4 linked regions of the Schizosaccharomyces pombe genome follow. Changing the gene in region 2 together with the main gene of any one other region gives a genetic interaction. Each region holds a gene or a part of one and is shown on either strand. Other genes may lie near its edges. The genes, in order: cid1, rad9, gdt1 and pcf2.

Region 1 (7,767 bases), 3.5 Mb from region 2:
CCAATCGTTTTTTCTGAATTCTGAACAAAGAGAGACAAGACCCAAGTCTGAAGTTACTTCTTCATTTTGAGCTTGTCTAATAAACTCAGCAACCCTAGGAGGTGGCTGAGAATATTGATTTTTAGGAGGACTTTTCGTTATCCTCATTTTTGCTTAAAGCATCAAAATCTCGAAATATAGTTAAATACCCACCTTGAGAAAAATGCCAAATTTATTATGTTCTAATGAATTGTACCAACGAACAGAAGGGAAATAGACCCAGCTGAATGTTTGGTAAAAGTTCAAATGTGATGGTTAGCATGCTGCAATGCGTCTACAAATTTGGAAACAATATGAATTTTACGAAAAAATTTGATAAGCTAAAATAATTTCTGTACGCTATAGTAATTAAGAAAAAAAGATAAACTCTTTATATGTGTTTACGCACATTACCGAGGCTAAACGAAAAAATATTTGGTTATTTCCGTTCAATTTAAAGAAATTGATATAAACAATAGCTTAGCATTTGCAATAAATAATTATTAATTATAGATCTATGAAAATTTTTTGGACATTGATGTTAACTATGATGAGCCTATTTTCTCACCAACAAGTAGACTATTAACAAGAGGTTGTACATAAAACAAAGGGGGAAAGGTATTAGAAACAAGAGGTCAAAATTTTTAAAGAAAAATAAAAACATTCCATGCTTTCAAAAGTAAGCAAATAAAAGCAGAGTAATAATGAATGATTACTATGAATCTAGGGGAATGAATATTGATGCGCTTTTTAAGACTTCTTTGTAAAATCACTCAGAATTGTCACCATCGGTTTCATTCAACAATTTTTTGTTAGATTGTTCATCCGTTTTTTTCTGGCGACGAGGCGGAATTGGGGCCTCCTCAAATAATGAATCATAAGGGATAGGATATGAGCGAGAATTGAGCAACCTTGAAGCGGCCATAAATTCCCCTCGAATCCGATACAATCCAGAACTGCTAACTGTCCTACCCACATTATGTGAAATCTCGAAAGGATCTTCAATCGCAAGAATATACCTGTCTTTTATAATTTGATCAGCCGATCCAGTGTGTTCAGTAGCTGAAGTCCATCCTTTCTCTTGCTTTGTGAGGTAACCGTCTGGTCTACGAAAAGTTACTACCTTTTCCCGTGGCTCGAACTTATAAGCATAAAATCTAAAAAAGCCATGAAGTAAACTTCCCAATGAGCTATAATTTTGGGAAGGAGGGATATCTTCCAGTTTATCGTCAAAACCAACGTCAAATCCATCAACTATCTTTTCTTGTTTCAAAGGTGACAACAGTAAATTAGGAAAGACGGGAGGCTTGATAACGTGAATCAGATAGTAAAGAACCATTAGGACGTAACCATAACTGGAAAGAGTTCCAAAGTAAGGAGAGTTGATTTGCTTCCGTTTGGCCCAATGCTTAACAAGAAGGACCATGGGTTTTAGGCGAGCATCTAATTTTGTATATGAAGAAAGTAAAAGCGTATTATGAATAGCTAGACGATTGTTAAATCCAATATCACATTGAAACGAAGCCCCAAATCCATTTTTCGTATCAGATGTTAATTTGATAATGGGAATTCTTGCCCTTTGTAAAAATTTTCCTTCAAATCCTGTCGATAGTTAGTTATGCGAGCCAACTGGAAAGGAAAAAAACAATATTCAGAGATAGTTTGTCTAAACTGAATAACTTTTAATGAATAATTATACTTACCTTCAGCTATAAGCTCTTCATAGAATTGGAGCGCAATTGTATCACTTTGGACGCGCGAATCCATAAGCACGCACAAATCCATATCCGAATTTTTAAGTGCTAAACCAGATTCCAAACTTCCAAAGGCTACCAATTCAGCATCTAAGTCACATATCATTAGAATTGGACATTATCAATATTTGGTAAAGTCTCCACTCTCGTTAACTACATAATTGAGACAGTCCTAAATTTATATTCAAACATACCAGGGGATATTCGTTTAAGGCATAGCCGAAGTGTATCTAATGCCGCTCTCTTTTCTTTAAACTCTTTGTCACTAATTTTAATCTCATTATACACTTCATAGCAAAACTTCGTAAATTCCTTGTGCGAATTAGGGACCTTTTGGTAGCTACAACTTTTTGAAATATGTAAATTTTTGTGAATTTCTGCCTCAATCTCTTCAACTGTGTGAACACCAGGAATAAATTGTGCAGAAGAAATGTTCATATTCGTCTACTGCTCAAAAGGTGAAAGTGGCAAACTTATTCACTTTCTCTTTGAGTAATTATTCACTGTTTAATGGTCTTTGATGCTTCCTTTTACTAATTGAAGCAAGTCAGTTACAGTGTTTGCTTTTGGCAAAAGCTCCTTTACCAATTGATATGTTACTTAATAGCAGTAGGGGTGACAGCGCTAATGGATGAGGAATGAGCTATAAAAAGCAGTAAAGTAATTGAAAAAAGTTAGGAAGAAGAAATCCTAAGGTCCAAATGTTTTCTTTCTCACTTAAGAAGCGAATGTTGTATGGCTAGTAATGGTTTATGTGAAAAAGGAAAATTAGCAAATAATCCGTTGAAAGCCTTAATCATGAATATTTCTAACAATAACTACTAATATTTAGTTTATTTTTATGTCAGCGAGCTATCTTCGTCACAGTTAAGCAAAATAGCTTCACTTGATGATTATGGACGAGCTTAACACCTAAACACTACGCTCTTCCTACTTTCAGATACAAAAAGTAATTTTCGTCCGGAAAAGATAATATATTTTATTAATCTCATAGATTTTACGAAATTTACTAAAAATGCTAGGACAAGGCTTGATTTTTATCAGTTTAGCCTTTGTTGCTCATGCATTAGAAATTCCTATTTCTTGCGCTGTATCACATAATGAGCAAACAGAAATATTTCCACATGGTACTATTGATATCCCAGAAATGACATTTCGTCCTTCGGACTCACAAATTGATTGGAGTAATCTTTCTCACTCTGATTTTGTACAATGTGGAGTATACGAAGATTCTACCAACACATGGCTTGCAGGCGCCAGCAAATACAAAATTGATGAAATAAAAACCCTTCCAAAAGTACCTAGAGACCACTATATCATACTTTGTGATTCATCAGAAAGCAATGAGATTGCAAAATTTACTCAAGTGGTCCACTCATTTGATTTTTCATCCGACTCAGAAAGTGCTGTAGTCGAGCAATTGCATCCTTCTTCTCCAATTCCAATTTTAACTACTGCTGTCAGAAAAAAGGGATCACGTCCATCTAAACCCCAGAAGGAAAAACAAGGAAATAAACAGGGTTCTAAAACCGAAGAATCTCCAAATGTGGACGAAGATGAATTAGAGTCCGAACCTGAGGAAAAGACATTTTTCCAAAAATATGGTTTATATCTCATCCCGATATTGTTTCTGATAATTATGTCTGGTAACAATGCAAATCAACAGGCAGCAAATACGGCGAAATAAACGAGTCATTATATATATGCCTTAAAACAATTGCGTCTCGGCTACGATAATTTTTTGATTATTGCTACTACTTACTGTGCTCTTTACAAATATTCTAATTCATCTATTTCCATTCAATAATACTGCTATGTGCCAGATGTACGATACTTAATAGTACTTTAAAATCTATACAAACATTTGTAATGAAATATCGTATAGGAAAGGTTAAAATAAAAAAGAAGGAAGTTTCTACGTGCACATAACTAATTTAGTCTTTAACAATTATTCCATTCCAACATAAACAAGATTCATTAATAACTAGATATAAACATTCATTACACGCATGAGATAAAATCAATTTTTAACAACAATAAGGAAGGAATTACACATGATTACCGGAGAGTGTGGTTAAGTATTTTTAACATAACCTTCGCGTCAGATAATGTAAAAAATGAGGAATTACACAATCTCACATAAATAGAACATAGTGTGTACAAACACAGAAAATTAAAGAACAGTCGTTTCGTTAAGTCATCAAGGGCTTGGAAGCCTGGTTAACGCCGCTATTTAAATAATCCACGACGTCGTAGAGAAATTTGAATTGCTCAAAGTTTTGAACCATTTTCATCCGTTGTGATCTCAACGAGTTAACACAATTGAATATGAAATCTTTTGAATCTTCCAAATTGGTCGTCTTGGGTAAAATGTTTTTTGGTACCTGAAGTATTTGGTCTACAGCAATAAAAGTACCAGTGCGTCCTACGCCTGCTGAACAGTGAACGAACATTGGTCCATCATTGGGAACCTTATCAATACAACGTATGATTCCCGTGATGCTTTCAATATCTGGATGGGTTTTGTCAAACCACGTGTGCACCCAAAAGTGATGTATATACTTTGGAGGACCATTAGGTTTATCCAATCGAAACAAATGAGTGTTGACCTTCAAATCTTCAAAGGTTTCATATTTTTGAACAGATATGCGTAATCCGCCTTCCAAGCATAATGCGTGATCTTTGTTATCTGGCCAATATTGAGAACATTTCTCACTTCCCGCCTCATACAGATTTGTGAGCATTACGATAACACCATTTGTTCCTGAGTTATGCCAAACCATTTCCCAAAAGTCTAAAAGAGTTCCCGGCTTAGGGGCCTGGCAGGCAATATATTTTTTATTTCCAACGTCTATATGTGAAGCATTAATATAATCAGAACATCCTTTTGGAACGGCTAGACGGACTCTTGTTTTATCGTAGGGCACGATATCTGTGTAACGATTTTTTCTTGAAATGGAAGTGGAGCGGCTGGAAGCTAAACAGCACCAATCAGATTTACTGTCATTAAACGCTAGGGATCTAGTCATTTCCATTTCCTCAAGTCTTTTAAACTTATAAAAAATAGAAGCAGTATTTAAATCCGCAAGCACCTCACAAGGAGGAGGAGAAACCTTTTTGGCACCCCAGGGATTACAAGTAAAGGGTCCTTTGTTTTCCTTGGAGAAAATGCTTCCCTTGGTCTCTTTATTAAAGCACGGTTTGTTAGCTCTTCTTAGACCGCCTGGTTTTGGAGCATCTCGTGTGTTTGATAAACCAACAGATGGTTTAAGTTTGCTTGTCATCGTACTAGTACCATCATTCTGTGCATTGCTATCACGTTTCATTGACTTCCGTGGAATAATTTCCAAGGAAGCTTGAGACAAACTTGGATTGACGACGTTGCTGGATTTAACATAGTTGCTAAAGCTACGAACGCGAGAAGCAGAAGGCCGTCTCTGATTATTCGAGGAGGGATAAGAAGGCACCGATCGTAGAGATGGCCTGGCAGGAGTTTGCTGAGGGGCATTGCCTACGATAAAAAAGTTTTTCTGTTCATCAGGCGTACTAGGACAAGAAGATGCGCAAGAAATGGCGGGAGAGATTGGAAAATATGGCATTTCAGCTTGAAAAGCTGAATTTGGGGGAGAGAGGGGTGAACCATATATAGATTGGCACGAACGAACAGAAGAAGCAGTAGGAGAGTGAATCGAAAACGGTGTTAAACCTGAAAATCCAGGGTATTCCGCATGACTCGCGAACTCACTAAAGGTATCGGAGACTACCGAAGGTGTGCATAAAGGTGGTGGGATGTTAATAGGAACTCTCAATGGAAAGCTATAATCTGGTGAAATAGGGGTAGAAACCGCAGATGGATCGGATAAATGAAGGATATCCAGCTTGCAATTCTCATTGATGTCAATTTTGTATGGGACCGACTCCTTGACCATTTCGGTAGAGACAATGGCGTCCGGATGAGAGGAAGCAAAGGCTTCAAATCCATTGCTTAATAAATAAATTTTTTTGGAATATCCACCACGTCGAAACTTCTGTACCAAATCATAAATACGGTTCATGCCAGCCATGCTAGAGTCGTATAGGAATATGGCATTAATTTCATCCAACGAGACTTTTACGTTGCATTTTATACAGGCGAAAACCTTTCCAATGTCAAAAGACGGACGACGTAACAACGCAGTTGGAAGAGAAACGTTGATGGCATTTTTTATATGGCTAACAGCATATTTGGAGTGCAGGCGCAAATCAATAATCCAAGAAACGCTCTCGGTTTGTTCTTCAAAAGACTTAAGAGTAGAGTTAAATTCGTCTTTAGACAGAAGATGGAGCATAGTAGCACAAAATTTTTGAAAACACCTTGGAAGATGTTATATCCTAAGTAAAAGGGACAGAGACAAGATTGGCCAAGCTAAAATATATATACAGGAAACTTTTAAAATGGCACACAAATTAAAACGAAAAAAAAGATAGCAGGCGAGTGTGAAGAGGTGTGCGGGTTAAGAGAAATTTTTTGAGTTATTTACAGTGTGCTTTCGGAAAAAAAGAATATAAACAAAATGGAAACGTAAGAGAGAAGAAACTGTATAAAAATAACAATTATTGACTTTTTGCGAGTTCAATCAAGGAGTCAAAAATATAAGACAAAGAAACTCCTGGGCGACGTGAACAAGGATGAATGAGGAAACTTGTTGATTGAAAGAGACGAAATCAAACAAGCAAATAAATAAATTTTTAATAAACAGAAAATAAACAAAATTAAAAGTTTTGTATTCTTGGATGATGGTGGTTAATTTTTTTGTGATGAAAAGGAAAAACTGCAACTCGATTTTCCCTTTGTATTGCCTATTGATGTTGAACAGAGAAAAGCTCCTTTTTGTCAAATAAATAGAAGTCCGCGAAGTGGCGCTGGGATATAAAATGCAAAAAAGATAGATGAGTGAATATATATGAATAAATAAATAAACAACTAGTAAATGAGTCAAATAGGTGAAATCTTCACGTAATATACACAAGATGGGTAAAGTTGAAGTAACTTTAACACGTAACAAAAATTTTCTTCTACGAAGAATAGGGCTTCCATGCGATCCCTAAATCTCGTACACTTAAAATTGGTACAACTTGGTTTTTCCTACATTTCACCACCAGGCCCTCATATATATATATATATATTTTACATGTAAGAAGGATGTAGATCGATTTACGTCTGATCCTCGGTTTTGGCACCAGGCACTGGGCAGTGAGACCAGGTAACATACAATGTAATATTATGTAGTCATGACGTGTCAAGATCGTAGACGAGGAAAAATTTTAGGCAACAAAAACAACGGCTAAAAGGAGATTGAAATGAGCTAAACCAAGGAATTTTTTGAAGCTGAAAAATGAGTTCTTTTAGTTTATAAAGTTGATGATGATTTTTTTCTTTAATTCCTCGAAAACAAAGTTCGGGTACTAATGTACCTAATTTCACGGTCACGTCATTCTCTGCTACCTAAAGGGGTTTCCCCATACTTTTCTGCTAAGCGACCGTTTATTCTAAGATATAACGAGAGGTAAGATGGCAATACGGTGTACTATTTAACGAAATATTGCATAATGTGACGAGTGACGCTTAGAGCACAGTAAGACCGGATCTAGTGAAGCCGAATGCATGGAAGAAGCCCTCTCTTGGGCCACAGCAAAATAAAGGGCCGCAGCGAACCAAGGCTAACTCGTAATTAACACTAGTTGTACTGTGTAGCACTATGCAGGATTAAAGAGACTTTGCAAAGCCGGGAGATTGTCTTAATGTGGACTATACGTACGTTACTAGAAAATTGAGTCGCTATGGCATGCGCTATTGTGAAAAGTGGAGAGGGGGGCAGGGAAGTGAATGACTCGGTGGTACTTTACGTACTCTCATGTACTGCGTGTTTCTAATCGTCAGGTGAATCCAAATAATCCCCTTGTTTTGTTCACATCAATAATATGTCTTAATTATCTTCTTCTGCCTGCTTCCCCA
Region 2 (7,871 bases):
AATACCACTTGAAAATGAATTGACAGCTCCAATGCAAATTCCCGATGCGATAGCCGCATCCACTGCATTTCCACCGGCCTTCAAGATGCCAACACCAATTTGGGAGCATGTCTCTTCCTCCGTAGCCACAACTCCATTTTTTCCTTCAACTACTACTCTCTGCGAGCCTTTGTTTTTATATTTGAAGGAGCACCGTTGATTTGCAAAAAAAAGGTCGGGAGATAAAATTGGCCAGATGTATAAAGAAAGTATTGTGCCTGCCAAAACAAGAAATGTGACAAGAATAGAGGGACGAGAAGCCCGTTCTTCTAGAGCTGAAGTGGCTGATTTCTTATTAGATGATAAATGCCGATTTCCAGACTTCACATTTACAGAACTTCGAGCGATGGAAGCAGCCCCTGAACTCTGAGCAGAAGACGTATTGATACCCATCACAATTTAAAAAGTGCTGAAAATATCCAAAAAAAAAAAAACAAGGTATGAAATGGAATGAAATTAAATTTAAAAAAAATACCTTTACCAAGATTAAGGAATCTTGCACAAAACCTTTGAGAAGAGGGTATGGATGAAGAAAATGAAAAGAACTTCTAATTTAACAAATTTAATTTTTGGGGAAAAATGACCCAAAATGGACTAAAGAAAGCCAACCGCAACTTCTACACCTTTTTTTTACGATATTAGCATGAAGAAATCAACAAGGCTAATCAATAATTGAATAGCGTTAGCTTTAAATAAATTCAACGGAAGAAATCCTTGCTTCTCAAGAGAACGGCTCGAGTTTGCTGTGTGCGTGCAAGTTGAGAGAAATAAGCGGGAGGCAAATTGGTGGAGCAAACCACATATCTAATTTATACAACCGAAAACATGGTTTTGACTGTGAAGCCGGCAAAACTAACAAATGCATTTTACTGACTAAAATATCTTTCATATCTTTTGTTTTTAAAAACCGCATATTGGCAAAAAATTTCTAAATCGATAGGTAGATCCTTCGAAAATCCCAATTGATCGACTAGTAAGCGAGGCCGAATAATATGGCGATGAATGCACAATTCATTCAATGTTTATGAATGAGCACTTTGAAAATGGATATTCCATGAAAGATAGATAATAGAAAATCGGTATTAAATGTATTTGATTTTGTAGTCTTTCATCTATCTGTCTAATAATGGTTTGCAACATCGATGTTTATGATATTACAAATTGTTTTTAGGAACTTTTTTCTTATAGTTGATATAAAACTAATATAATAGGGTCGAAAGCGATTCATTTTAACTCATCGATTAATTCAAATTTTGATGTGTTAGTCTAATCCTGGATTTATTTACATGGGCAAAGATTTTTATCAAGGACAAATAGTATTTCAATGCCCAATTCATTTGGTTCCAGATTTTTTGAAAAACTTTTTTTTAAATGTTTTTATTTTCTTTCACATATACTCTGTTACCGATTCGATTTAAAATATTATTGAGCAAAAGCAGTATGCAAGGGTATTGGAATAATATTGACAAAAGCAAGGTATGAAACTTTAAAAAAAACAAATTAGATTTTATTTTATTTTTTTAAGTATAAGAGTTTACGTCTCGTTCTTTTACAGCAGCACCCCATTTTCGAATCGTATGTGTAACGAAATTTTTGAATTTAATTGTAAACATTACTTAAAATCAACACTGTTTTAAGATATTTTTTTGCTTTTTAAAAATAAGCAACAAGTTAAATAGAGACCGCTTTTATTGGAAACAGCAAGCATACACTTACCAAAACTCAACTCCTATTCTTATAACAGTTTTAGAGAGACATAATACTCGTTAGCATAATACACAGTCAAACAATAAAATAATAAATTGGTAATTGTTTAGTTACATTGTCTAGACAGAAAGAAGCAAGATGTGGGGAATTTCCGAGTTTTTACCTTGAGCTTTAACGAACAATTTTTAGCCCTTTAAAAATCGATACTTTAGTCGGTTGCATTCTCTACGTCGTTTTACTAATATAATCAACTCTCGTGCTGTGTTCGTTTTTTCAACTTTTGGTTGCTTCATAAAAACCATATTATTTATTTCAAACAAAGTAATATAACCTCGTCTGTACTAGCTGAATCCGATAAATGCCTTCAAACTTCATTCTTATATTTATTTCATACAATGATAATTTTGCTAACCCACACCCCTTCACTTACCCAGTCCCAGACACATCAAAATTTGCTCAAAATGGGTAAAGGTAAGTTCAATAAGATATTTTTAGGTTCTAATAAATCTTTAGTTTCTTTAAAAGATGAATTGGCAGGGATGCTAAACCCTCAACCGCAGGGTATGTTATTAACGAAAAATTCCGGGATTCTTACTCACATAAATAGAAAGAGACCCTGAAGCTTTAGAGGACGCATTCTCTGATAGAGAGGACTCTAGCGAAGAAGAAAACGATACCTTAGGGAGAGAACATTATGTTGATGTTAGGTATGTTCAAAATTTTTACTTTTGCGTATTTGAGCTTATACTAATGTTTCATATTTTATAGTGAAAGTAAATTACGCTCAAAACAGGCTCCTCAGTTAGACCCAAAATTTAAAGGAAGAAAAACGTCTCGCCAGGAATTACTTAATAGCGGTTCTTTAAACTCTCAATCTTCATCACCATCTGAAGAAGAAGATTCGGAGGAAGACGAAAATGATGCAGTTTCAGAAGATCACGAAAATTTTTCAAGCTCAGAAGCTTCATCAATTTCTGAGGAAAATGAAGATGACGACCAATCTTCTGCCATTCCTGAAAAAGACATGGATCGTTTAAAAAAGATTATAAATGGAGAGAAAAAGCTATCTGATCAAATTCGTACATCCGCCCTTGAAGACATGAAAAAGGGTTTAGCTTTGAAGGAGCAGATGCGTTTTTACGATAATGTTTTAGATACTAGAATCCGTCTTCAAAAAGGATGTAGTCAACTTCTTTCTTCCAGCAACCAACTTCAAGGTGATAAAGTAGAAGCCCGAGATGGTTTAGTATCTTTTATTCAACACACTTTACAGCTGAGGAAAAACTTACTTATTGACTCTGGAGTGGAAATTCTTGACAGTAGATCAAAAAGAAAAGAGAATCCTGTTAGTCTAGAAGAAATTGCTTTAGAAATGAATAACCTTGACGACTCTTTGAATGAGTGGAAAAATGATACTTTAACCAAATGGCATAATCGGGTTCAAGCAGTGCAAGGGATTTCGCAATCTAACAAATTCAAGGCTCTAAATCAAAGTATTGTTCAACAAATCGAAAATTCTATGATTAACAAGAAAGATTTGGTCGAGCGCACTAGAATTGATTACAGTGACCCTAACAACAAAACTTTCAATCCCGAAATTTACAACGACACGGATTTTTATCAATCATTATTGAAGGATTTCATTAATTCTAGAATGGCAGACTCTACTCGAGATGGCACTGTTCGTTGGATGGCTACAAAAAAGCAAAAACAGAAGAAAGAAAACGTTGATACTAAGGCATCCAAAGGTCGAAAAATAAGGTATCACGTTCATGATAAATTACAAAATTTTATGGCTCCCATTGAAGTGACTGTATGGCCGGATGAACAAACTGAAGATTTGTTTAGTAGTCTGTTGGGTCAACAATTAGATTTATCAGAGACAGCTAATGATACAAATACTTCAAACTTCGTGGAGAAGGATGATGAACTGATCTCTTCCAACGACGGATTTTCTCTCTTCGGTTGAAAATAAGCTTGTGCGTGTTGGATAAGCTTCACTATTTGTCTTTTTTTTAATATACGCAAGCTGTGCTAAACATTTAGGGTGCATGATTATTTTTACTTACAGTATATCTTTTTTCGGTTTTAAAAAGGGCATTCGCGGATTTTGGTTCTATTATAATATATTTCGTTTACAATTATTTAGGTTAATAAAAAAATTTAACATATATATGGTTACATAGATGGTCACAATGTCGGGCAATTACAAGTAATAAAGGGTTATCTTGGGCTGAAGGTTTTAGTTTTTGTGCACTTTAGTATTTTAAGCATAAAAGTATGTACGTTTATATGATGTACAGTTGAACTCTTTCTGCTGCAAATTAAAAGCAGCTATAAGTTTCTTCTTATTACAATTCATTGTGTATATACAGATTATTTTGCGATTGATGTTGGCCATTACACTTTCGTACAAATTTCGGCGCGCGTGTCTATACTAATATAAGTGCGTTAAAGCAGGTGCTAGAAAACACCACATTATAGATTTACCTCTGTATATACCAGTTTCAATTCTGTTTGTCAAAAATTGTCGAGATTTATTTACTTCTATTAGCATGAATTAAGAAATTAATCGTCATATCGACTAGAAACTATCGTTATTCGTTCAGCATTCGTCTACATCAATTCACGTACTGGTATATAAAATGGAATTCACTGTTTCAAATGTTAATCTTCGGGACCTCGCAAGGATCTTTACAAATCTTTCTAGAATCGATGATGCTGTCAACTGGGAAATTAACAAAAATCAGGTGTGTTGGAACTTTTTTCAAACCTTACTAAACATTGAAACTAATTGGTAAAGATAGAGATTACATGTTTAAATTCTTCTAGGTCAGGATTTAGCATGGTGACTTTAAAAAAGGCATTTTTTGACAAGTACATTTTTCAGCCGGATTCCGTCCTGTTGACGGGATTGATGACTCCTACAATACGTATTCGTACGCAAGTCAAGCCCATACTATCTGTGTTTAGAAACAAAATCTTTGATTTCATCCCGACTGTCGTCACTACCAATAGCAAGAACGGTTATGGCAGTGAATCTGCAAGCAGAAAAGATGTGATTGTCGAGAATGTTCAAATCTCAATCTCTACTGGTAGCGAGTGTAGGATTATATTTAAATTCTTATGCAAGCACGGTACGTAGTTTGTCCGTCTTATTATTTTATTTGCTCTACTAACGTTTATTCATCAAGGAGTGATTAAAACATATAAAATATCATATGAACAAACCCAAACTTTACACGCTGTTTTTGATAAATCTCTTAGTCACAATAATTTTCAAATAAACTCAAAAATTCTAAAAGATTTGACTGAACATTTTGGTCAGAGAACGGAAGAGCTTACAATTCAACCACTTCAAGAACGTGTTTTACTTACAAGTTTCACAGAAGAGGTCGTACATAATAGAGATATTTTGAAGCAACCTACCCAAACAACTGTTTCCATTGATGGTAAAGAATTTGAACGCGTCGCACTTAATGAGGGAGTCTCTGTTACCCTTTCTCTACGTGAATTTCGTGCTGCCGTCATTTTAGCAGAGGCATTGGGAAGCTCGATTTGTGCATATTACGGTGTCCCAGGAAAACCGATACTTTTAACTTTTGCAAAAGGGAAAAATTCCGAAATTGAAGCGCAGTTCATTCTTGCAACTGTAGTTGGATCAGATGAACAAGAGGTGTCATCTATGATGGGAAATAGATGGCAGCACAGTTCAACACCAGCTTCTCTGTTCAATTCAGTAGAGCGCAACAACTCATTGACTGCTGTAGCACATAATCCCCCTGGATCTATTGGATGGCAAACTGATGTATGTAATTCGGCTTTAGTACTAAGTACAATAATTTATTAACATTAACTTTATAGCAAAGTGACTCATCCAGAATGTTTAATTCTGCGCTTGACCGAAGCGACGAAACTAATGGCATTAAGGAGCCATCAACCACAAACGATGCTGGTCAATCATTGTTCTTAGATGGTATTCCTAATGAATCCGAGCTTGCTGCTTTTAATAATGATGTGAACGATGATGCCGAATTTGGACCAACGCAAGCTGAACAAAGTTATCATGGCATTTTCTCTCAGGAAGACTAGGAAAATCCTTCTTTGCTATGGTGTGTAAAATTATGAACATTTACAGGTGCTTGTGACAACCTCATAAAACACAGCACTCATATTATATAATGTACAATATTTATCAATAATTTAGTTTTTTTTAACTACAAAATTACCCTCATCATACGATACGTTACATAGTAGTTCTAATAAATCAATAAGATAGTGAATAATGTAACCCAATTAATTAAATTCCAATCCACGGCCTATAAAAAGTCTAATATACATTTTTGCATTTTCATCTGAATGCAAAATTTAAGTCATTACACGAACTCAAAGAAAGTTTTAAACTTGTTTCTTAATCAATTCGTTAATTTCTTCTCCACAATAGCCAGCCTTTCGACCCTCATTAAAATGTTTGACCTTTTTCTCCATCAAACTGTGTTTAACTGGAGTCAAAGTGAATGGCCATAAGAATTTAGTAACTTCCTTAAAATGAGAGCCTACATTGTAAATTTCATGAATGATATCTTCAATGGAAATAACATCATATTTGCCCAAGGCCTCCTCAATTAATGCATTATCAGAGAGAGCAATACGCTGACCATTGATCTTACCAAAGCCACGTTTATAAATGAGTTCACGAACAGAATGTAAATTGGGAATACCATACATAACATAAGGTTCGACGATTCGAAGCATTTGAGCAACGGCTTTATTATTTCGCACAAAAACGGCATTGTTAATTCGAGAAAGGCGTAATAAGCGCAGAACTTTGCGAATTTTAGGAGGCATATTCTTGACTCCGGCAATTCGAATAACGAAAAGAAGTTTTGTTTCATCAGGCACGAAAATGTCTCCTTTATTTTTCGCAGATCGATTTAACCTAATCCGTTCTCTTTCTCGTTGGCGGTAGTTATTAATAAAAGTCTCAGCCCTTTTGAAGGTTTCTTTACGATTTTTCTTCTGGGCCTGGAGTAAAATTAGTAAAATGTTTTTAACAATATATAAAAATTGATGAAGTCAAAGGTTTAAATTTAACCAATACAAAATATATGAATCAGCCGAAAGATGGTATTTTGGAGCAGCATCGTCGAAACTAGCAATCCAAGAGTGAAAGGTTCATCTTTTTCATATAAATATGTATATTATGGATATTTCAAACCTGTAGAACAAGCAATTCACATACCTCTTTTTTGGCAATAGCCTGCTCAACACGTTCTTTCCGAGTACGCTCATTGACCTTGCGCTTTTTTAAAAGCACCTCAGGTTCAAGCATAGTCTGTTGTACAACCGGTGCATCCTCCGCCATTTTATCGTCTGTTAGTAACGAGTAGAGGGCACGTTGGGACTATAGACAGACGAAAAATTATAGCTATGAAATGTGACTGCTTTAAGACACATAATGTTCTTCGTTACAATCCGCTAATAAGCGCAAAAAAATTTTGAAGCGATTTTCAAATAGGCTTTGAAATGTGTACTTAAAGGTAAAAAATGGTGTTTAAAAACTATGGCAAATTTAATTTGACAATATAACAAAAATTGCACAATAGTAGATTGCTCCTTCCATATCGAAGCATCTCTTTCTAATAACCAAGACCAAACTTTATCTAATTGACCTTGTACCATTGAAATTCATGTTTAAAAGATATACAAACGATTTTAATAGGAATATTATCAATGTTGAATGTAATCACCTGGTGCTCAAACTCCTCAGGGACGTGGGATATGGAGATGATAAATTTTGCACAACATTAATCGAAACAGTGCGAAAACACATGAGAAGTTGAATAATTGTATTATTAGCCCTTAACTTCTTAGGGTAGCCGTTTAAATGTCATTCATCCTAAACTGAAAAAAAAAATGTGACATTGATGAAATATAGTTTTCCACACGCAATTTATGTAAAATAATCATATACATTTATAAAAATCAGAAAGCAATTATTAAAAGGAAACAATTGATAAACACAAATTTACATATACTGTAAGAAAATGCATGAAAGCCCTTGCAATTCAAAATGAAATTACAAGGTTATTCTATCAATACGACTGTACGACTTACAAACTCAA
Region 3 (7,768 bases), 3.8 Mb from region 2:
CTTTAGTAAAGCGAAAAAAAATTTAAATATAGTAAACATGAAATTTCATTCATCACGAAAGAAGCTTGACGTACTTCTCTATCCTTTTAAGTTAACAAAACTTGAAACAGTCATGTAAAATTTACGGATGTAAAAAAATTATTCAACGTCTTAATATAATAAAAAGGTCAAAAAATGATTATTCGGGTGTAATATTTTCTTATATAAATTATAGGATCAACTTCTTAACTTCAAAGTAAAATTTCGTTCCAAAACATCACCTAATTAGTCTTGTCAATTTGAATAGTGTTTTTTTTTTCTTGTCTCAGATAATTGATTGCAAACACTGGGCCAGTATATTACTAAATCAGAACAATTACTCCGGCAATATCAACCCCTATGATATTCCCGAACACCCTACTTCCACCATACAGACATACGACATTCTACACCTCATGCTAATTTAGATTTAAGTTGGCAGGTATCGAAGAGTCATATTAGCAGTCGCAAAAAGTAAATTAATAAAATACAAACATGCCTCAGGGTACTGGTGAATGGTATCATACCAAAACAGCTGTTCCAAAAAACTTACAAAAAATGCGTTTCCTTAAGTCGTAATGTTTTCCATTGAACTACAAACAACTACTTGTAGCCGTGCTCTGATATCCTAATATCCCCCAAATTCAGTAATCAAACTCTGGTGGTAACCATAAGCGAGTACATTTTTTGGAATGCACCCTAGATTTATAAGTAGACAAGATAGACACTATTCGCGAAGAAATTTGCGAATTATGGCTAATGAGATAGTCGTAGCTGGATTAACATCGCTACCAGATTTATGCACGCTAACCATCAAACAAAAGCCCCAAGGAAAAGAAAGAGATTGAAAACTTCCAACATTTTCTTTCATAGAAGTAGCTTTTACTTCCCTACAGCAAAGACATCCAAACTTGAGTTCCCGAAAACTCAGCAGAACCTTAAGAAGCAAATGCCTAATTTGCACCAGTAGTTAAGGAATAAAAATTTGTTTTTGCTACACGAATTAAAAGTGACTTCATTAACTTCTTTATTTATAATCAGCTGGCAGTCTTAACTTCTTCTACTGCTATGTAAAACTGACTGCTGTTTTTGAATCACGGAACCACATTCGTAAAACGATCTACGTTGTAATTTCATAAGAGTAAATTCAATTGAGTATAACCTTACACCTTACTATGGGCGATTGATGATTTGTAGAAATAAGAATTGCTTTGAACTAAAGCCTACTTGCTCTACCATAAAGACTGAATGATTTTCATTGGCTAGTTTTTCATCGTTTACTCTGATCCGTGACATTAGAAACTGCGTTTTTTATTTTATTTTTCCAACTGGATGATCCATCCATACCTTTCAGAGAAACTGAAGAGTTAGTTCTGGAGTTTAGTCTAGAATTTGATACTGATGAAGCTCTAGAACGAGCCTCTAGTTTCTCAACCACAGAATTACCAAGAACATGCGGCAAAGGGCCACTCAAACTCCACACCGGCTTGTTGGGTTTTCTTCGCGCATTTAATTCTTCGTAAAGAGGATCGACAAAATTTGAACGAGGAGTTTTAGAATTATCCTCAAGTTTTCCAGCCAAATACCCTTCAAGCCATTGTTGAGCATCTGGGTCTGCAAATTTGCTTAGGTCCTTAAGGTTTGGAGAAGAGATATTCATTTTCAAGGCATCTTTAGGTCTCATTTGTCGTGTAAGATTAACATAGGATCTTTTTGAAGCTTTTGGTTCATTGGATCGGCCATCATAAACGTGCGCATCGTTCGATGATGGCAATTGAATTCGTGAAGAAGTGTTCATATAATATAGAATGAAGAGGAATGACCTCAACTTATATGGAAATTTCACGATACGTATTTGGATACACCCGGACGAAGTTTAATTGATTTATGAAGAAGGTGGGGAAATTTTCTTACAACTTTTTCTTTTCGATTTTTTAACAAAATGCTTGCGCTTTAGTAAGGAAAAACTATTGAAACGTATGAAGTTTTCTTTATGATTGCTTCCACAACAGATAATCCTTTAGTATACGCATTCGCATATGTGCCTATCGGTCTCAAGTATTAATGTGGACAATGTAACCGATCACCTTGGTTATATAATTTACAGCACAACCTCTTTGTACTCGGTATTTCACAGAATCTGAATGGGCCGTGGATAGGCTAATATAATCATTGAAACCATAGGTGGTAGTCCTTTTGGATCGTGTAGTCGGTTCGCCATTTTTTATTGACCTTTATGTCATTATGTCATTATAAAGAGGAGTAGCTGTACTTCATCCGAAGTTCGCTTAGTGGGCTTCGAAGTACTACTAGTCGACTCCTAATGGAGTTTTAAGTGGGGTCAGGTTCATTCGGACTCCATTAGAGTCTATCTCTCATCTCAAGAGTTTCCTTTTAGTAAAGAGTAAGTAAGTACTGTCAACCAACTTTTCTAATTTGTAGCTCTCATTATTTTTAAAGAAGCGATCTATGAAAAACGTTGCAATGGAGTTAGTATGGTCTTTAGAGTAATTGTATAGTGACAAAAAAATAAATAAATAAATAAAGAGAAAAATACAATTAATGAGAAAATTGTAAATAAGTATTGAATATTGATATAAACAAGTTTTATCAAAAACAGAATATGTCAAAAATGCAAATAATAGTATAAATAATTTCTAAAATATACATTTGTACAAAAGTAGCTATTAAATTACTAATTCCATATATAGTATAGTACTTGAAGTAACCAGTATACAGTTAATTGTACGAAACTATTGCATTGAAGTTATTAAAAAATAGTATCAAAATACAGAGAATTTGGTGCCAACTGACAGATAAATTAGCAAAATAAGTCATTTCCGATCAAAATAATTTTCTCACAACGAGTAAATGGCATTGCTTTTTTAAGAATTTAAATCCTTTGGAAAATCTAAATAAGGACTTTAAAGAGTCGTATGTTAACGCTGAAAGCATTATCGGAAGGTATAAAACGTAGCAACCGTTGAAAATTATTTCTTCACTTAGCTATAAAATATCAAAGTAATAAAAATTGTAACCATCATCATCAAAAGCCTTGAAAAATGTACAGTATCCCAAAAATCATGAATACAATCCCTCCAAAGAACAGTACCTTATACATTTCGATTTTATTTGATATGTATCTTCCGACAATCACCGCTACCATTGTACACAGCATATGACCAATATTCACCCCAATGAAAACATCAAGCACCTTCTCCTTTGCCGACATAACAATGGTAGCAATTTGAGAACGATCCCCCAACTCACTAACAAAAATTAGTGCGAAAGCTTTTATGAAAGCCCGGGAAAATTTTTTCGAAAACAGATTTTTAAAACAGCTCATACTAAAGACTTTGAAAAATTTGTCTTTAAGCGTAGAGCTGCTTCTATTGCTGGCTGGTAATCCCAATTCTAATGTTTTTTTCATATCTTCTTCGTTTACAATAATTTTTTCGACTTTGTCAAATTCATTTTCAAGAGACTGTTGACTTTCTCTGACCTCTTTACTCTCTTTCAGCATTTTTACCCCAAATATCAAGAATAGTGTTCCACCAAGAATATGTGTTATCGATTTAGGGAACAGAAAAGGGGCAGCACGCCCAACTAACACAGCAAACGAAGTCATAAAAAAAAGAGCCAAATATGAACCAAAAAAAACGGATGCCCGTCCATATTGGTATGCCAACAGAGCAGTAACGATGAAAGATTTATCTCCAAGCTCACAGCCTATGATCATTGATATTGACATTCCAATGTTTTGAACGGAACCATGACTAAACTGCAAACTGCCTAAAGTAGTTTCCAAATTTAAGGGACTTTCAACATTAATCATGATTCATTTACGTTAGAGGGTAAAGGAAGATAAAACAATGAATAAGCAATAACTCTAATCGACAGTTATTTGAAGCTTCACTCAATAAAAATCTAAAATTTGCAATTCAGGTGGTTAGGCACAACGAAAGTTGGTAATTGATGGCCAATGCTGATAACGAATATAATGATGTCTCAAACTTAAGGCCTTCTAAAATACAAACAAAAAATTTCGATGTTTAAAACATTATCGAAAATTACAACGCACACTTTATGTATAGAAGAAGTTGAGTCACGGATGATCCAATCCGAAGCTTAAAGAAACAAAATCGTTAGATTCTACCAACACGGATGTGGGAAAACTTAGCTTTTCACCGGAAAAAAAGTAATATATAAGCATGGGAAAATTACCGACCATTTTTATTTTGTCAGCTAGGCAGTTTGGTATCTGATTTAAGGATACGTAGAAATGCGGCAAGTTTTCCTTGTGATCTATTATATTGCGATACACAGGTAGTAGAAGTAGCAGATGAGTATAGGCATTGTATTATCTAGGTTATAATGTTACCAATAACTGATATTGCTTATAACATTTAAAATAGCAACAATTTTAACTGATAGTTAGTTACTTTATCATAAATGATATTACAACCGTATTAATAACTTATTATGTGAAGTTGATAGAGCAAATAGAACATTATGAACATGTGACGTATAATGATACGCAACGTAGTGACTGTATTAAAAATTTTACAGGAAACCAAATAGTGATAATCGTAGCACGTCGAACATTAGGTTTCACTATTTCCAGTTTATCTTTATACATCAGTAGACATAGCTAGATAAGAGTTTCAGATTGTATCTTGCTAATCAAATTTTTTTAATATATAAACCCTTCTCAGTTAAGCTGTTGACAAAATTATTTAGCTTTACTTAACATAGCTTTATCTGCACGAATGGCATTATATCCATTCAGGCAAGTCGATGTGTTTTCTACTAAAGGATACGCTGGTAATCCTCTGGCAGTTTTTTTGGACGCTGACGGTTTAAACAGCACGCAAATGTAACAAATCGCTAAGTGGACCAATCTATCCGAAACAACATTCATACAGAAGCCTACCATCCCAGGAACAGATTACAGAATTCGTATATTCACACCGGGTTGTGAGCTTCCATTTGCTGGTCATCCTACTATCGGATCATGCTTTGTTTTGTTGGACAATAAGTCTTGTAGTGCCAAGAAAAATAAAGTAGTGCAGCAATGTAATTCCGGCCTTGTTGAATTGACGTTACATAACGAAGATGTCAATCAAACTTGGATATCTTTTCAAATTACCGAGTTATAAGACTTCAAGTATCTCACCAGAAGTAATAGTAGATTTGGAAAAATTTTTGAATTTATGTGAAGGTTCATGTTCACAATGCAATACTCCTTTTTGTGTAGATGTTGGTCCAAGGAATGCTATAATTCAACTACCTAACGGTGCTGATGTTTTGAACTTGAATCCTAATTTTCAAGCTATTTTTGAGTGCTGTTCAAAAAATTCGTTGACTGGCGTCCAAATTTTTGGAATGTATAACGACGGGACATACGAACTTAGAAGTTTTTGTCCTGTTCATGGGGTAAATGAAGATCCTGCTAATGGGAGTGGAGCTGGATCAGTTGGTGTATTTTTCGCCCTCAATAATCCATCAATAATCTCTTCCGATTTCGCTCATTTATTATTTAATCAAGGAAAGATATTAGGCAGAAATGCTTTAATTCGAGTAGCTATCAAGTTGTCTGCAAACGGATTATACGATATTCATGTTGGTGGCGGATCCAAAATCTGCATTTCTGGAACTGCAGAAATCTGATTTTTATTTAACAAAAGGACTGATAAAATATTCACTCGTTAAGTTACTGATAAATATTGAAAATATTAAAAAAATGAATAGGGTTTGTTTTATATCGGTATCCTAAAATAGCAATTAAAAATAGTGATATTCAATATGTATTGATCAACGGATTTTGAATTTATTATTCATTATTTTTTCATTTCTTTTCTTTCGATAAAAAAAGTGATTTCTTAACCAAAATCGGTTCTGATTTTTAATGAATTAGAACATCGCCCATATAACATACCACATGTAGAGCATGTTAAAGATGTTTTACAGAGACTGAAAAATGCACATTTGATTATCAACCAAGCAAAAGCGCAAAATTTTACAAACTAACAAATGAATTTGTAGGGTATCATATTTATGAAAAGGAATTTACATTTTGTCAAGAAAATATAGACAAAGTCCTACAATGGAAACAACCTAAGAATTGTAAAGAATACCTAAAATTTCTAGGTTCTGTCAATTATCTAAGAAACTTATATAATCTGCAAAGTCAAATAAACAACATATCAACAGAAATACCCTTGCCATCATTAAACTACTCAACCATTGAAAATTTATTGTATTTACCTTATTCATACCTTTTCCCTTTTTTTAATACAAAATAAGTGTTGGGTTATACGATTAATGGCTCTTTATTAGATGTTTTAGTGTTCGGGTATCGGGACTTTGTATATTCCATAATAATAATAGCGTGAAAAGTTATATTGTTGCTTATCATTCGAATAAAGTCATAATAATTAAATTTTGTTTCTTTGACTAAATACAATTTTTCGGTTGTGTGTATTGTTAATGTAAATTGTTATGAACGAACTGAACCAAAACTTAGATGTAGAAATTTATTCAGGAGTGTATTACACTATATTTGTTGAACCCTTTAAGCGCTATAAGTTTTTTGGATTATTTTATATAATTAAATAAACCCGCATATGCATTAGAGTTGTTGGGCAAGATAATGTGACATATTCTGAATTTCTCCATTCAGCAGCGTATGCGACCTTTTTTCTAACCTTTTTTAGGTAAAAAATAAATACAAATAAAATGTTAAACTTAATCTTTGTATCAAATAAGCAATACATATAACTCTTAAATCGCTAAAACTTTCATTTTTTATAACCTTCATTCTTCCATTTAACATATTATACGATATGACATATTTGGCATGTTAAACGTGATTATATTGATTGTATAGATGAAGTTGCTGTAAAATTAGTTCCACTATTACTACACAATGTTATATAGTGACCAAACCCGTTAATTATACACTACATTTGGAATTTTTGGGATAATAACATTTATGATAGCTATTGAATTTTAAACTTGTACTATTTACTCAACTATAGGTTAATAGTGAGCCAGATGTACGATAATACTTAGCGAAAACATACTAATTCATCAGTAGGTCCGCTCGCCCTACCAGAGTTCGGTAACTGTAAATAATTTGAACCATCACTGATTGAGGTAGAGTCTGAATTATTTTAAAGAGGAATGTTGATCTAATGGTTTAATGAAAATGAAAACTGTGACAGTAGTAACTTAGGCCAAATTAATACGGCTTATATGGAATGTAAAACACAATCGTTGAACCAGGCTACAAAGTGCATTTTTATCCAGAATAAAGCGGCATTAGTCAAATACAGATCCGCAAATTTATTCTGCCATTAATGTGTCGTAGAATTGGGATGATATGAAAGAAGTATCATTTGAATTTTAATTTGTCTTCCTTAAGATTCCTGTATGTTCACTTATCAAAGACTTTTTTCTAATAAACTAACGTGATGAATATAAAGTATAAACAAGTTAACAAGTCTTATAAAATAAAGTTCGATCAATCCATTAAATATTCTAAATTCAATTCATATCACACATTCGAAAGATATGAATTAAAAAATCTTAGTGTAAATAAATAAATTGGAGGATTGAATTTTTCAATTGATGAACATGAATGCTTAGTAAAAATAGAATAAAGTAATTAGTAAAAATTTTTATTCTGTTCGATACTTGGATTTGAATTAAGGTATGTAATTAATTGAACTGATATACAAAATTTAGT
Region 4 (8,304 bases), 2.4 Mb from region 2:
TTTCCTTCACCAATAGTAGTAGTTTGGTTTGCCTTAGGATAGAATCCCTAAGCTCACCATCGCTGGCAGCGATGTGCACCAAAATGTAAATACTGGGTTCAATTAGGATAGGATTTTTACTTTCTAATTTTTCAAGCAAAATTTTTGCTAACAACTCCATAGGAACCATTTTCAAAAGAAAATCCACGCTTTCTTCTTTCTGACATGTAAAATTTCGCAGCACTTGCAACATTTGCTCTTGGACCCCCAGATCTTCGTCATTGCAAAGTTCCACAAGCTTTGAAGCACCGATCTTTTTTAAAGGTTCAAGCTGGATCGTCTCATCATCACCAAATACAACATGCCGCAGAACCCACACGGTCTTCTTTCTTAGACTGCTATCTTTCGTACTAATATTTGATATCAAAGTATCAATGAAATTTGTAGTAAGGAATTTCTCTCTCAAAGGAGAAAACTTAAGTACCAAGTTACAAATGGCAGACGTAGCAGTCGATTTGACTCTAGTATCCGGGTCAGAAAGCAACTTTATTAATGGTTCGCTCACGTCTGCATCGGCAAGGCCCGTACGTAAAATGTAAACGCTTCTCGAGAGACTTAATAAGCATTCACAAGCAGCCTTTTTCACGCTGTTAGAATTGATTTTCAAAGCATTAATGATAACAGGCAAATATTTAGCATCAACTATTAGTTTTCTGTATTCATCTTTAGAAGTTGTTAATGCAGCAACGGCTAGCAAAACTGATTCTAAGATTAGGTTTTTTTGCTCCTTTTTGGTAGCAGGAAGATTAAAACAAACGCTGGATTGCAATTCATCGGATAAAAAATTAATTTCATTCTCTTCTTCTTTAGTTGCGTATTCTAGAAGATATTTGGCAGCATCAATAAAACCTGCATTTACAGCCGTCTTTTGCATAATTTCGTTTTCATTGATTATGATGGCGAGAATACGAGGAGCGATTTGTTTTGCTTCTCGAGATTCAAAAAATAAACGGATGAGAATGGGAGTTACTATCATTTGAATCTCCTTAGTTTGATTTTTAGAAAGGATGCCTGCCTTGTATAGGGTCACTAAACAAGAAATTGAGAGCAAGCGAATACAAGGATCAAACTGTCTAACGAGACAGAATAACTGAGTAATATATTCATCACCATTAGGCCCAAATATCTCTGATTTAAATAAGGCGACCTTATCCTTGTTTCCCTCAAAAACATTTTCAATTTCATCTAAATCCATATCGCGAGGCGAAACGTGACCATTTGATTCTAGCCGGGTTTTCTCTCTTTGTTTATAAGACTTCACATGCTGTTTTAAATAAGCATTCAAAGTACCCAGGGAGTTAGTAATTAAGATAGAGCAATCATTCCAAAATCTTCTTCTGGAATACAAGCGCAATTGGGTAGCTCTGTTAGTGATTTGAAATAAAGCAGAACAGAATCGTGGAGAGTCTCCAACTTTAGAGTTATAAAGGATAAGACGATGCAAAATCTTAGAAGATAAATTTGAGATACGCAACACATCAAGAGAAGGTTGTTCTTTCAAGGGTAAAGTATACAAGTCAAACATTTGATTAATTATAGAGTCCGAATGTAACTGAGTGACATATTCTGCTGCTTTGTCAAAACTCAGCATTGTGTTAAAAACTTTAAGGGTGATATTCAGCATTCCATATGGTGTACTATCCCTTTTCGAAATCATTTGCATAACGGAAAGAAGATCCTCGTGTCGTAAAAATTGAACGAAAGGGTCCTGGTCCTCACTCATCAAGGAGTTTAAAACAACAAAAACTTGATATTTTTCATTCATGGATAAATTTTCTAAGGAAAATAAATTAAGCAACAGCTTTGGAGCTCCATTGCGAATTGCATATTCTTTTCTGTCGGGTCTTCCAATTACCCAATTTTTGAAAGGAACGATATACCTCAACAACTCATGCTCATCCTTAAATATTTTAGGATTTTCTTTAAAAAACGAAGAATCCGTAGAGTCGTTAATGGCGACCATTCATGAACAAAACTTGAAGATATTTGCAAAAAATATGAGACTTCAGTAAATTTGGAAAACTAGCGTGAAAATGAGCTGATTAAATCTTTTTTTAATAAAAGTAGATTATTAGCAATTTAATCTATGCAATGAGTAATGTATAAGATGCAATTCCTATAGAATGGTGGTGATGTTATGTGTAAGAGGGTTCCTCAATACGTATTTTATACTTACAGAAAAGTTACATATTAGTTTTATAGTCTTAAGTAGACAAAAAGTACAAACGATTAGAAGTATTATTTGCTTTTTATATATTTATCTTAACAATTGTAATGAATTTAATTGTGCTTATATCTAAGCAAATTACCGAATGATTACATCCAAAGTAGAATGTACAGTTTTGCCTTCTTTTTTTTTTTTAAAAAAATAAAAGGTTCTTTAAAGTTACTAGTACAAAACAAGAAGTACGAGATTTTTACTCCAAAAATCAAAGCGTATTGTCGAAGTAGAACTTTTTTCATAAACATGAAATTATGGATAAACGGGGGTAGGTGCAATACGCTTCTTTGATACTTTTGAAGATTCAACTTTTCTGGGAATTAGTGTTGTAGTAGCTGGTCCCCCAGCCGTATTGTCTTGTGAATCATCAATACTAGAGGGTGAAGCTGATCGTTTCTCCGGCAAAGAAATTTTGTGTTGACTTTTGACACCCAATTCTCCAGGTTCAAAGGTAATTACAGAACAAAAACCATCTATAGAAGTCATTAACAAAACATTTCCATCATCATTCCAAGCTATGTCTGTAAGGTTAGAGTAATGTAAATTTACTGCACGATAAAATGGTTTGCAAGTTTGCGTATCATAAATATAAACAGCATCTTGACATGCCACAGCAAATACCATTCGATAAGGAAGATTAAAAGAGACAGAAGTAAAAGAGAAGTTAGAGAATGAGTTCAATTCATAATGAATTGGAGAAAAACGAACCGCAATAACTGGTTTTTTGAATCCATTAAGACAAGCTACTGGCTGTTTGGTTATACTCCCTCTTGTATAAATATAAGCAGTATAGGGAACTTCAAAGTTTGGTTGACCGTGCGGTCGAAGCCGACCAGCAGGCGTAACTAGTAGTAATCCGTCAGGGGAGAATGCTGGACGACGAAAAAAAGAAACAAGAGTTTCATTGCAGTACAAAGAGTAACTGATTTTTGAATTGAGAGAATTTGGAGGCTCTGTTCGCTCTAAGCTTCCATCTTTGACTATGTTTGCAGTTGATGAGAGAGCTTCGTGCTTAGATACGGGAGACTCATTATTATTAGAAGTTTCGATAGGTTCTGATATCCCCGATGATTCATCATTATTTAAGGGCTTCGTAACAGATATTAATTCGAATTTAGTTACATTATACTCAATACGACAGATGCGCGATTTTAAAACGAGTTGGAATTTTTTCGGATTCTTTTTTTCCTCTTGAATTTCGTATAAACATATAGAACGATCACTACTTTCCGAAACGATGTATTGATTCAAAGGATCCCAACATACCCCTTGAACGTAATGTGAATGGTCGAATTTTTGAGTAAGCAGTTGCCCTTCTTAGTCAGTAATTTTAATTTAAAAAAAAATATTGCCAATAACAACAACTGCCAATTCATACCTGTGTGAGCATCGTACAACCGAAGACTATTATCCATGGCGCCGGCAATAAGAAAATTACTGTCAACCGACCAGCATAAATCATATATTTCTGAACCCATCGACCTACAAACTATTTTGACCTTCCAATATTCTTTAGCTAGAGCCAACTCTTCCGCATCATCAGCCAAAGTTGTTATAGGAGTGTTAGTTGGAACCCATAACATAATAGTTCCTTCATCTCCGGCGGTAGCAAGAATATTTCCTATTTTAATGTGAGCATTGGAAAAAATTATTAGCGAATACCTTCTGGATTGAAACGAACGACGTTCACTGCTTGCGTGTGTCGACTTAACGTAGACAAATATTCGACTTTTGTGGATGATTCCGAAGTGATCAATTGCCATATCTGGATATTAGTATAATTGAAGGAATTTTCTTTCTTTTTTTTAAACTACAACAAACAATAGTTGAAGCAAAAATAGTTTTATGTCAAATCATTACCCTGATTTTACTGTCTCCTCCACATGTAGCAAATTTATTAAGACTGTTCTTTTGAAAATCAACTGAATAAATAGGTGTGTGATCATCATTAGCATCATAATGCCATCGTATCTGCAAAACCTCCGCTCTCATGTTCCTCTTCGTCGTTAGTGCTCTAGGATCGCTTCGCACAATTTTTCTAATAGTAATTTCGTGAGTACGGAACTAACGTGTATATTATTTAGAGTTCAAAGAGAATTTTTTATGAACTCTCTAATATTGTTGTTATTTCTATTATTTGTCAATTTGCTTTGGGTTCAATGTTCAAGCAGCATTAGTAGTTGGAGGAAAAATTTTGAATTATATGCTGAGTGCCCGTTATACTCTATTTTTTTTTATCTATTTAAAGCCCTTTAGTTTGCACAATAGTCTTCTTATTAGCCGTGCGATTACTATGTTTAGTGTTAGGTAAGTTTATAAGGTTCGATTTCTTATAAATATTATGGACTTTCACAGTTGAAATTGCATCCTTTCCCCTTGGTTTAAAAACAGAGTATTTCATATAATAGAGTACAAAATTTGAGGGTTTAAAACGCGTAGTTTACAAGTCTTGGATCAACATCATTTTGGTTTTTAGACATTTTATTATCTTCCATAGACTCATCATTTCTATTGTTTTTTTTTTAATATCTTATCATTTAGGCGGTGAAATTGCGTATAAAAACTGTCAACTATAATAACACATATGAATTTAAAATCTAACTTTTTCTTGTAAGTAATATTTTTAGCTTAAACAAATACTTTGATATTATTATAACCTCTTACTTCATCGTATAATTCCCTAACTACACGCGACGACTTGGTTCACGGTTTTGTACAATCGATGCCGTTCAGCTCTGTTATATTGCTGTTGAGAGTGTCATAAACAACAAGCAATTTTGATGATCAAAATTCCTTAAACGTTACTTTTTTTTGTAAACTTTCTTGCCAAAGGTCGCTCATTTGTATGTGTTATTGTTTCATTCCAGATTTATCTGTTTACCTTTCGTACCACATACTTTTATCTATGTAAATCAGAATGTCAGGACCAGATCATGTTCAATGTCCTGTTTGCGCGAAAACAGTTACGATGAATGACATTAATCCACACCTTGATTCACATTATTCGGACTCATCAGGCCCTTCGAAACCTGTTTCACCCTTTTTTAAAAAGGAACGCTATAAACATCATTTAGAAACAAATGTCTCATCTCACCAGAGCGCTACAAAATTTATAGAGCCTGAACCCAGCCCTACAAAGAAAACTAAACTTACAAGACGGGATACACGACCACTGGCGGAACGAGCAAGACCCAAATCACTAGATGAATATGTTGGTCAGGAAGAGCTGGTTGGTGAGCGAGGCATCATTCGTAATCTGATTGAACAAGATAGGTGCAATTCCATGATTTTATGGGGTAGTGCTGGAACTGGAAAGACTACGCTTGCTAGACTAATTGCCGTTACAACAAAATCAAGGTTCATAGAAATTTCTGCGACTTCGACGACTGTTGCTGATTGTCGTAAAATCTTTGAAGACTCACAAAATTATCTCACCTTGACAGGAAGAAAGACTATTATTTTCTTGGACGAAGTACATCGTTTCAACCGTGCGCAACAGGATATATTTTGTAAGTTTGATATTTTTTTATCTCTTCAATTAACCATGACTAGTGCCAATGGTTGAAAAGGGTCTAGTTACTCTGTAAGTGATGCATTCTAATATCACAAATGCTAACCTTTGAATTAGGATCGGCGCAACAACTGAGTATGTTTAAACACTAATGTTTTCCACCATGATTAACATTGTAGAAATCCTTCTTTCCGACTAAATTCTGCTCTCATTAGCAGATGCCCCGTTTTTGTGCTTAAGAAACTAACGCGTGATAATGTTAAGAAAATATTAAACCATGCTTGCTTACTGGAAAGTGAGCGACTAGGATCTTCTATGCCCAACGTTGAAACATCTATTATTGATTACATATCTGCTATTACAGACGGAGATGCTAGAATGGCCTTAAATGCTTTAGAAATGTCTATTGGAATGCTAAGACAAGGACCCCTGTCACTCGAAGATATTAAGGACAAGCTAGTCAGATCTTCTGCACTTTACGACAGAGTAGGTGATGTTCATTATGATACAATTTCTGCCTTCCATAAATCAGTAAGGGGTTCTGATGTCGATGCAACTTTATACTATCTGGGTAGAATGCTCGAGTCTGGAGAAGATCCACTGTATGTGGCACGAAGAATGGTTAGAATAGCAAGCGAAGACATTGGAATAGCAGATAATTCTATGCTACCTCTAGCATCCAGTACATTTACTGCTGTTCAACAAGTTGGCATGCCTGAAGCCGATGTAATTCTAGCTCATTGCGCCGTCGCCTTAGCATTAGCTCCAAAATCAGTTGACGTTTACAGATCATATAATGCTGTAAAAAGTTTTTTGTCTTCTCATCCCGATGCTGGCAGGGCTGAAATTCCCATGCATATTCGAAATGCTCCTACAAATTTGATGAAGCAATTAGGATACCATAAAGGATATAAATACAATCCGGATTATAAAGACGGATTAGTAATGCAAGAGGTAATAAAAAATATTCTTTTCAATTTGTTAACCTACTCAGTATTTACCCGATTCTATCAAGGGAACAAAGTTTTATAAGCTACCTATAGAGTTAAAAGAGGATGAAGAAATTAAAAATTTAAAAACTGATACTAAATAATTATATAAGTGATCCTTCACTAATTGTTCATTTACCACGTTATAATGGAAATCATTGTATTTCAATACCTTTGCACTTAGCCCATACTTTAATGGTGAAGGGGTAATGTCTCAAACTCCTATTAAAAAGGAAGAATCTAATGATCAGGATGATAAATTTGAATTTAAAAAATATATTAATGAAGGGAAGCTCCCTCTGAAAGCAGATAATCCCAAAAAAAAACCACAACTTGGAACTATTCAAGCTAATCAGCCTATTCCATCCATATTTGACAATCTTTTTAATTTATTCAAGGTAATTAATACTACATACACTTTTCTTTATTTGAGAAATTCTCTTACAATCACTTTTCCCCTTCTCAATTCGAGTGTTAAGCAAAGTTTGAAAAAGGAGTTGACAATCGGCGATTTATCTCAGCTAAGAGAAATATGTCCTCAAATAATTGAATTAAATTATAAATCACTTGCTAGCCTTGCATTAGAAATCAATAAAAATGTTTACACTGATCTAAACCCTGAGTTGTACACTGGTTCAACGGTCTCACAGAGTTCTGAATATGTTTTGGTTATTGAGCTTTTAGAAACGCAAGAGAGAAGTTCCAAACGAAGGAGACGTGAAGGCCCAACAATGAAGGCTAATATCCAGAGGCAAAAGCTGGATTTTAATAATTTGAAGAAAGCCATAGAGTTACGAAACCAAAAGTTCCTTCAAGGGATTAAAGAATATATAAAAAAATGTCAATTGACAGAACTTGACCCAACGCAACAGCTATTAACTCAATCCCGGAAAAACCAGCCGGTTCCTCCTGATTCACCGAGTATTCCTAATGATTCAATAGAAAACTGCAATTTAAATACTAAAGCGTGCTCAATTGAAGAACTTTTAAATGAAATAGCTTCTGAATCTTCTTACGAAGGGCAAATAGTCCAAGAAGCTTTACATACTTATCCTGCTGTTGAAGCACAATATGGAGCGTTGTCTCGACCTTTGTCTCAAGAGCTTATAAATGCTCTTTATACATCTAGAAACATCGAAAAGACATACAAACATCAGGCAGACGCTATCAACCACCTTTGGAACGGATTTCATGTTATAGTGTCAACTTCTACATCTAGTGGAAAGTCTTTGATTTACCAAATTCCAATTTTACAAAGTTTGTTAGAAGATAATCAATCTACGGCATTTTTTGTATTCCCTACTAAATCTTTAGCCCAAGATCAGAAGAAGTCGTTAATCGATATACTTAGCTATATGCCGACGCTTAAGAATATTCGAGTGGACACCTTCGATGGGGATACACCACTTGAGTCTAGAGAAAGTATTATTAGATCTGCAAATATAATCTTTACGAATCCGGATATGTTACATCAAACGATTCTTCCCAATGCTAATCGTTGGTATTATTTCTTTAAAAACCTGAAACTTTTCGTCCTGGATGAA

Evidence for each region.
Region 1: of rad9 (region 2) and cid1, extra expression of one rescues a mutant of the other (dosage rescue), as found in Schizosaccharomyces pombe (one study listed by BioGRID).
Region 3: mutations in rad9 (region 2) and gdt1 together harm fitness less than expected from each alone (positive genetic interaction), as found in Schizosaccharomyces pombe (one large-scale study listed by BioGRID).
Region 4: mutations in rad9 (region 2) and pcf2 together harm fitness more than expected from each alone (negative genetic interaction), as found in Schizosaccharomyces pombe (one large-scale study listed by BioGRID).

Annotation. Positions count from the first base shown.
Region 1 is NC_003424.3:5,201,156-5,208,922, reverse strand, and holds cid1 (terminal uridylyltransferase Cid1), read right to left. Parts: upstream 2,344-7,767; 5' UTR 2,211-2,343; coding exon 1,967-2,210; intron 1,863-1,966; coding exon 1,722-1,862; intron 1,621-1,721; coding exon 788-1,620; 3' UTR 501-787; downstream 1-500. Other genes in the region: ptr1 (E3 ubiquitin-protein ligase), read right to left, coding at 1-147; protein Emc10, read left to right, coding at 2,788-3,459; protein tyrosine phosphatase Pyp2, read right to left, coding at 3,965-6,100. UniProt on the Schizosaccharomyces pombe protein: Cytoplasmic uridylyltransferase that mediates the terminal uridylation of mRNAs with short poly(A) tails such as such as act1, hcn1 and urg1 mRNAs, hence facilitating global mRNA decay. Uridylates the 3' ends of actin mRNAs upon S-phase arrest.
Region 2 is NC_003424.3:1,712,057-1,719,927, reverse strand, and holds rad9 (checkpoint clamp complex protein Rad9), read left to right. Parts: upstream 1-4,211; 5' UTR 4,212-4,391; coding exon 4,392-4,496; exon of another isoform or gene 4,497-4,549; coding exon 4,550-4,883; exon of another isoform or gene 4,884-4,940; coding exon 4,941-5,554; exon of another isoform or gene 5,555-5,610; coding exon 5,611-5,838; 3' UTR 5,839-6,008; downstream 6,009-7,871. Other genes in the region: gamma-glutamyltranspeptidase Ggt1, read right to left, coding at 1-432; bfr2 (traub family ribosome biogenesis protein), read left to right, coding at 2,208-2,217, 2,260-2,307, 2,354-2,453, 2,515-3,715; ribosome biogenesis protein rlp7, read right to left, coding at 6,145-6,771, 6,989-7,111. UniProt on the Schizosaccharomyces pombe protein: Acts in DNA repair and mutagenesis. Involved in promoting resistance to ionizing radiation and UV light, as well as regulating cell cycle progression after irradiation. Repressor of entry into mitosis that is activated by chromosome breaks.
Region 3 is NC_003424.3:5,537,286-5,545,053, forward strand, and holds gdt1 (GDT1-like protein), read right to left. Parts: upstream 4,197-7,768; 5' UTR 3,854-4,196; coding exon 3,065-3,853; 3' UTR 2,747-3,064; downstream 1-2,746. Other genes in the region: SPOM_SPAC186.04C (uncharacterized protein), read right to left, coding at 1,289-1,816; SPOM_SPAC186.06 (isomerase), read left to right, coding at 5,134-5,688.
Region 4 is NC_003424.3:4,115,847-4,124,150, reverse strand, and holds pcf2 (CAF assembly factor complex subunit B Pcf2), read right to left. Parts: upstream 4,278-8,304; 5' UTR 4,253-4,277; coding exon 4,121-4,252; exon of another isoform or gene 4,026-4,120; coding exon 3,923-4,025; exon of another isoform or gene 3,882-3,922; coding exon 3,639-3,881; exon of another isoform or gene 3,574-3,638; coding exon 2,513-3,573; 3' UTR 2,277-2,512; downstream 1-2,276. Other genes in the region: protein Gid5, read right to left, coding at 1-2,002; mgs1 (DNA replication ATPase), read left to right, coding at 5,178-5,769, 5,813-5,843, 5,889-5,906, 5,951-6,725, 6,766-6,864; RecQ type DNA helicase Hrq1, read left to right, coding at 6,970-8,304. UniProt on the Schizosaccharomyces pombe protein: Acts as a component of the histone chaperone complex chromatin assembly factor 1 (CAF-1), which assembles histone octamers onto DNA during replication and repair.